Oryzias latipes: one gene and its partner. The protein of the gene in region 2 interacts with the protein of the main gene of each other region in a biochemical or structural test. Links are inferred from orthologs where the notes say so. Each region holds a gene or a part of one and is shown on either strand. Other genes may lie near its edges.

What was found. The genes of interacting proteins can lie anywhere in the genome.
Region 1: the proteins of myod1 (region 2) and csrp3 form a complex in vitro, tested with the Homo sapiens proteins (2 studies listed by BioGRID and IntAct, with this or other methods). The link is inferred for Oryzias latipes from reciprocal best matches to the Homo sapiens genes MYOD1 and CSRP3.

Annotation. Positions count from the first base shown.
Region 1 is NC_019861.2:6,163,257-6,167,009, forward strand, and holds the start of csrp3 (cysteine and glycine-rich protein 3), read right to left. Parts: upstream 2,609-3,753; 5' UTR 2,494-2,608; intron 1-2,493. UniProt on the Homo sapiens protein: Positive regulator of myogenesis. Acts as a cofactor for myogenic bHLH transcription factors such as MYOD1, and probably MYOG and MYF6.
Region 2 is NC_019864.2:6,432,609-6,436,310, reverse strand, and holds the start of myod1 (myoblast determination protein 1), read left to right. Parts: upstream 1-761; 5' UTR 762-964; coding exon 965-1,552; intron 1,553-2,236; coding exon 2,237-2,318; intron 2,319-3,520; coding exon 3,521-3,702. UniProt on the Homo sapiens protein: Acts as a transcriptional activator that promotes transcription of muscle-specific target genes and plays a role in muscle differentiation. Together with MYF5 and MYOG, co-occupies muscle-specific gene promoter core region during myogenesis.

The DNA.
Region 1 (3,753 bases), on a different chromosome or scaffold from region 2:
CATTGTCCTCGTTTACACCAACCACCCCCATGTCCTCCTGTTCTCTACATCCATGAACCTCCTCTTTGGTCTTCCTCTCTGTGCTCAGCATCCTTTTCCCAACATCACCATTGTCCCTCCTCTCAACGTGTCCAAACCATCTCTATCTGAGACATAGAGGGTCGTAGGGAGGTACGGCTGCATCTGAAAGGGAGTGCGGGTGTGTCATACACCCACCTCAAGGGAAGTCATAAAAATGTATTGTCCGATTGTGTGTGTGTGGTAGGCGTATCGTGAAGTTTCATAAGGATAATGTAAATTGCACCAAAGTTAAGGCCCGTACACACCGGGACGAATATTCGCCAGGCGTTATTCGCCAGCGTTTTTCGCCACGTTTTTTGTGTTCACACCCAGGCGATTTTCGCTGACGGTGAGCCGAGCGAACATGCAATTTCATTCCCTGACATTAGATGGCGCTTAATGTAAACAGAAATACTCCTGTACACAAGGTGGCGCTGCGCAACTTTACGATTCTTAAAGTCGCTTTTCACTCAGAAGAAGAGAGCAAGTATTTACGCGCTTGTCAGAATAATACAAAGAAAACATGAATATTTCAAGCACCAGTAGCTCCAACTGGTACTTGGTAAGGGGATATTTAAGAATATCCGTCATTATTTCTTTGCGGCAGTGTAGACGCTACTTGGCGTCTATCTTCTTCGCTGGTATGTGTGCTCAGCAAGGCAGTTTTGTGTTTGAGCGCCCCCAAGTTGTGTTTTACTGTAACTTCAGAAGCTCCAGACACGTGTGCAAAAGCGCCATTCTCATTGGTCGAATAGATTTCGACGCGTCGAAAAAAAAAAACGAACCCGAGGCGTTTTTTTTTTTGACGCTTTGGCGCGTGGCGTTTTTTCCCGTCGGTGTGCACACTCTCATTGGTGCCCTTTGTTAGTCACGAGGCGTTAAACGTCGGCGAAAATCGCCGGCGAAATTCGTCCCGGTGTGAACAGGCCTTTAGGGTGATGCTGTTGTACGATGTCCTTACGCCAAACTCTAATCATTAGTAAGGTGGGAGTACCTGGACCCCTACCGACTCATGCAAATGCTGCAGGCACGGGGTGTGCAGATAATACCTAACGGCCCATAGGAAGCCAGTGGAATGCTTACAAACCACACTTTGTCTAATTTCCTCAATTCTACAATTTAGGCTGCATGCACTTCTCACGTGGACAGCACTAATGTGCTCCTCGTGGGCCGAGCAGGATTTGGATGGTTCAACTAATGAAAAATCGTACATGCCTGCATCTCACCTACTTCCCCCTTCCTTGCTGGAAGGGGGAAGTGAAATGTCACCTATATCATGCCCGTAGAAAAAAACCATGCTGACCGAGTAGTCCAAGTGGTCAACAATCTTAAAATTTTGTGCAGGGCACCTGCATGCCCCGCACAGGTTCACCCATTTTTCGCTGGCAGACAGCCTGTATCCACCCGTAAGGGCAGTCGTGACTAAAGTCAGAGAGCTCCAAAAGAACTGCTCAGTCAGCTCCCACCCTCACCTGGCTGAACTCAGGTCACTGAGGACCTGAGTTCAGCCAGAAACCAGGAATTTTCTGTCTTAACAATACAGGGAGAAAAAAATACTGAGCGAAGGAGAAATGGGCCATTCTGAAGTCATCCCTAAAAGCTGTAACCGCCTTAAATACGTAACTGAGGGAAGATGTTTCTAAGTTGCTGCCATCAATCTGCTTTGTTTCTCCGTCATTGTTTTTCTGACTTTTCACATTTTTTAATTATTTATTCCCTAATCATTAAAAGTGTTTTTAGTCTTAGTTTTTTAAAATATATTCTGTATGTTTTACTTTGGCCCTGAGACAGACTGGGGACTTGTTCAGGATGTACCCTGCTTCGCCAACAGTAGCAGGGATAGGTTCCAGCAACCCCATGGTATTAAGCAGGTTAGACAAATGGATGGATTGATGCTTTAGTTTAGACTTAACAAAAGTAGTCAAAAGGAGATCATAACTAATTATTCTCTAAGTAAAAAAAACTGCTTTCTTTAGTTCCGTGGTTTTATGTAATTTTCAAAATGTTTTTCCCATTTAAGCCACAATATTTATATTAAGTTTTGACGCATCATCAGTTATCCATAGACTTTTGTGAAACCTGAAAGAGCCACGTTGCTGAACTGAGGCTTCTCGTCTGGTTTTTGGGCTCTCACCTCCTATCAGAGGTATCTGACACGTCACAGGGCTGGAAAAGTGCATTTCAAAATAAAATCATCATTTTGACATCATACAATGAATGGTAAGTCAGCAAATCCTGTGGTTTTATCAGGGACAAAGATAGACCTCAACTGAAAATGAACTGTAATCTTGGTTTTTACATGAAGCAGAAAAGTCAAAAATCAGGAAATTGTTGTCATTATGAAGAGAAAACTTAAATTGAGCGTGCTATTTCCAATGGACTGCAATATGCTTCTAAAAGATAAGCTTGAAGAGAAAGAGACATGCGCCTTACCTGTAGTCTCTGTCAGAGTGCTTTGCTTATGACAGAGAGGTTTAAATACCGTCTTCACATCAGCAGCACTCTGGCAACGCCTTGATGAAACTATCCTCTCAAAATAACATGTGACGGAGAGGAGGCCCCCCTGACCCTTTATCCCTATCTGAATAAGGCTTGAACATCAGCCACTGGAGCATTTGTGCTGCATTCACTGACCCATGCTGGGAGCTCTGACTTGATAACTGTGGCTCAAAGGCCATCTGCCCTGAATGCCACAGTATCATGGTATAAACATAGACTGTGCTGCAAGCCTAAAGAAACACTGTTTTACAGGAATCAAAAACTGCTGCTGAGTTTGTGGAAAGTATTCTCCTCCAGGCATCCTCTTATTTACTGTTCTAGAACAGAAATGGTTTTGTTTTTGACTGTCACACCTGTGAGTCTACAAAACTTTTCTAGACTTTGTAGAGAAACGTTTTAAACTAAAAGTGAACTTTGCTTTTTTACGTTTTCCTATAAAAAACCTTCTTGTACACATCCAAATGATACATTGGGATAAAAAAGTGGAATTCAAAAATTTAGGGAGAAAAAAATTGAATTCTTAATGAGAAACATAGATTCAGCAAGTTATTTAACCTTAAAAGATAAGAGGTCTATAATGTTCATCATGGAAACACAACTATGAGAGACAGAATGTTTAAAACGAATCTAGGAAATCCCATTGAATGGATTTGAAAAGAAGTATTTGGTCAATACAAGTTCTTTTCAATACTTTGTATTGTTACCCTGGTTGTTAATGACAGAGGTCAAAGGTTTCCTGTAGGTCTTCACTGAGTTTATTCTGTAACTGCAATTTTGGTCCATTCCTCCATGCAGATCTTCTCTAGAGCTGTGATGTTTCGTGGCTGTTGCTGAGCAACACTGACGTTCACCTCCCTCTACAGGTTTTGAGTGTGAATGTGAATGTGTGACTTGCAACAGACTGACTACCTGTCTGTAGTTTACCTCGCTTTCACCCAACATTAACTGGAAAAGGCTCCAGCAGCCTGTGACCCGAAAGGGCTTCAGGGAATTTGGAAAATAGATGGATGGTCATTAAATTAACTGTCAATCTATAGAATACAGTGGACTTTTGTAGCAATAAAAAACAACAACTTTTAGACATTTTTAGAGTGAAACTGCAGCTTTGCTCATTGTGGCTACCTTATTGGTCTGTTTACACCCTTGACTGTATAAGGGAATTGGACTGAGTGACCCCTCCCCCCCGGCCTTCCA
Region 2 (3,702 bases):
CAAAAAAAAGAGTGGTGTGTGCGCATGTGAAGGTGCGTTCCAGAGCGCGCTCCACGCAGTTTCATGAACACTCATTCGGTGTACAGACCGGACGGACCAGCGCCAGACACGCAGGTACCTGCAGGGGCGGTTCTTCTTTTCATCAGCGCTCCTCCGCCACCTACAATATATTTATTGTAATTAAATCAACTTATTGGAAGAGGTTCGATCTGCAAAATCAAAGCGGTTCAATTCCCTCAAATCTTGCTCCAGCCTTTTTGTTTTCACAGATCTGTTCCTATAAATGTCCATCTTGGTGTCATTTTATTCCGGCCAAAAACAAACCGCAATTATTCATTTCTCCTTAGTGATCATGTTTACAACGGTTGATAACTGTTTCTTGAAAAGACGCTACAAACACTATCAAATCCTAATTTCTGATTGGTCACAGCGCTGCGTTGCTGAGATTCAGCGTGAAAAAGTTCAACCGGTTGAACTTTCAGCGCGCGACCAACGAACGCTTGATTTGTTTGTAGGCTCCGCACCCAACTTAAAAACCTGCTGGTGATGTGCGACCGCTAGCCTTCCAGACGCCACAGCCCCAAATTCTGGTGTGTGCGCATTCAAAGAGGCGCTTGAACACGGGTGTGTAAGGCGGAAATGCGTGTGCGGCCTTCCTTTAGCTGTTCCGTTAACTGCAGGCCTCTAATTACCGTGCAGTTGTAACCCCTCCACTTACACACACGCACACCCCTGCAGCTGCCCACCGATTGGTCACACTCCTCTGACCCCTTGGCCCCCCTGCCTGCTGCTGATGTGCCAGGTATAAGAGGCTTCAGGTCAGCAGTAGTCCAGTTCAAAACTCCTGACAGGACCCACATTACCGGACCCGCGGATCGCGAGTCTCTCTTCGGTTTGCTGGATAGCTCGGCTCGGCCCGTTGATCTCAGTATTTCTTTTCTGCGGGCCTGTTTTGGACCGGGTCATGGAGCTGTCGGATATTCCTTTCCCCATCCCGGCTGCTGATGATTTCTATGATGACCCCTGTTTTAACACAAGTGACATGCACTTCTTCGAGGACCTAGACCCACGGCTAGTCCATGGCGGTCTGCTGAAGCCGGATGACTCCTCTTCTTCCCCCTCATCCTCTCCTTGCTCGTCCTCCTCCTCCCCGTCCTCCGTCCTCCATGTGCACCAGCGCGCGGAGGTGGAGGACGATGAGCACGTCCGTGCGCCCAGTGGCCACCACCAGGCGGGCCGCTGCCTGCTGTGGGCCTGCAAAGCCTGCAAGCGGAAAACCACCAACGCAGACAGACGCAAGGCAGCGACGCTGCGCGAGCGCCGGCGCCTCAGCAAGGTCAATGACGCCTTCGAAACGCTGAAGCGCTGCACGTCAGCCAACCCCAACCAGAGGCTGCCCAAGGTGGAGATCCTGCGCAACGCCATCAGCTACATCGAGTCCCTGCAGGCGCTGCTGCGCGCCGGCCAGGAGGATGGCTTCTACCCGGTGTTGGAGCACTACAGCGGGGACTCGGACGCGTCCAGCCCCCGCTCCAACTGCTCTGACGGAATGGTGAGTCCGCTGTTCGGACAAGCTGCGAAGGCTGGAGCTACAGCGCGTCTTTACGCATGGAGTCTTGACTTAGTTAGTCGTTTCATGACGGCACAAGTTTTTACAAAACTTCAGTAAAAAAGAAAAGAAAAAGGAAAGGCAACTTTCACCGTTTTAGATTCGATTATACAGGCGCGTTACTCAGTTAATTCAGAGGATTACCAGTTACTACCTCTCCCGAAAATAAGATTTTTAAACGTAAAACCTTTTCTTTTTTTTTTTTAATCGTGAAAATCTTTTTTACGTATTTCTTGAATAGACTGACAGCGTCGTTTGGAGCAGTTCGCTGCTTGAATAAAAATCGGTTATAATTTGCACCAAACATCCGGATTTATTCAAACGAATTTCCTTCATAAAACATACGAGTCCCGTCATTAGGATTTCTATTATTTGACAAATTTCCTTTTATAACGCGTGCGAAACACTCAGGAAGATGAAATAATAATATTGTTGCTGCTGTTTTGTGCTTGTTTGTTCAAAGAAAGCCCATATATATATATATATATATTCCAGTTTAAAAATACACGAGTGTTTACTATCGGAAAATATCCCTTGTGTTGATATTTCAAAAATGTGACATTGTGTAAATTGTGTTTTATTTACTCTTTTGGCGTGCTCTAAAAAAAGCATTGTGTTTTATTCCAGACTGACTTTAATGGACCGAGGTGTCAGACGACGCAAAAGGGGAGTTATGACGGCGGCTCCTACTTCTCCGAGGCTCTGAACGGTGAGCTGCGCGCGGGCCAGAGGGGGCCGCGTCACGCGCCAACATTTTACACAGGAAAGATCCGATTTGCGCTTTAACCAGCCGACAGCATTGCTCATCTGAAATGATAAAGCGTTTGCAATCTAACTAAATCTGTTCATGAAGCCAAAGATGTGCTTTTATTTTTGCTAAATAAATTTAGTTTTCATGAGGTTAAAGAAAACAATGACATTCTCTATAAATTCTATAAATGAGAAAAAGGATATATATATAGATATATATCTATATCTATATTTACAGCTGAGCAAGTATGTCAGAGCTGAAGGCCTCTTGTGTTGGACAAATTTTACTTTTACAACAGGACTTTATGGATCTTTAGACAAACACAATTTATTTAGGGGTTAATATCCTTCAAAGGGTGCATTATTAACGCTTGCCGTGTAAGCCTGCGTTGAACTGCAAAGTGCATTAAAAATATGAACACTTTGAAGTAAATCTACTCACTTATACCATGGTGACTTTCAAAATAAATAAATAGTCAACCAGTACTTTATTCTGGTCATTTTTACGGTTTAGATTGCTTTTTCACAAAAGCGAACTATTTGTCATGCGGTGCAGCCTGTTGTCACAGTAACATGCCACTTAGCCAACCTCGAGTGGTGCGGCAAAGGAAAGTGATATCTATGCTGATGATCACGATGGGTTGAATAAAGCATCAGTTCAGAGAGAAAGTTCTCCTGTCACTGATCATTTTTGTCCAGATGATGAAGCTAAAGATTCTGATACAGAACATTTAAGATATGTGACCGGAACTGCTTTTTAGATGTACATTAACACATTTTTATCCACACCCAGCAGCCAATCAGAATCGAGTATTTCCCTGGACAATGGTATCAATTGGTGTAAACCCCTTATGTATTTGAGGTTAGGCTTTATTCATAATAATTATGTTTATATGCATTCTTTGTTGGACCGGACGGAAAACAAGAAGAGAGAGAGTGGATGTTAGAGATGGGGGGTGGGGGAGCAGTGGATAATACAGAGTCAAGAGTGTCATAAGTAAACTGCATGACTTGGTTCTCACACACACACACACACACCCACACACACACACACCAATAAATAGTCTGCACACAGCTGTTTACAGGTTTTATTCACACATAGAGGAGTGACCTCACAGTCTAGTTTGAATCATGTTTGACTGACGGTGTTTTCTGCCGTAGGAGGCCACAGGAATGACCGCAGCTCCGTCGTCTCCAGTCTGGACTGCCTGTCCAGCATTGTGGAGCGGATCTCCACCGACAGCAGCTGCCTCCCAGCCACGGCCGATGCTCCTGCCTCCCCGGCCGCCGCTGCGCTCAGTGAGACAGAGCGCGGCCCTCGGGCCGCTCCGACCTCTTCTCCG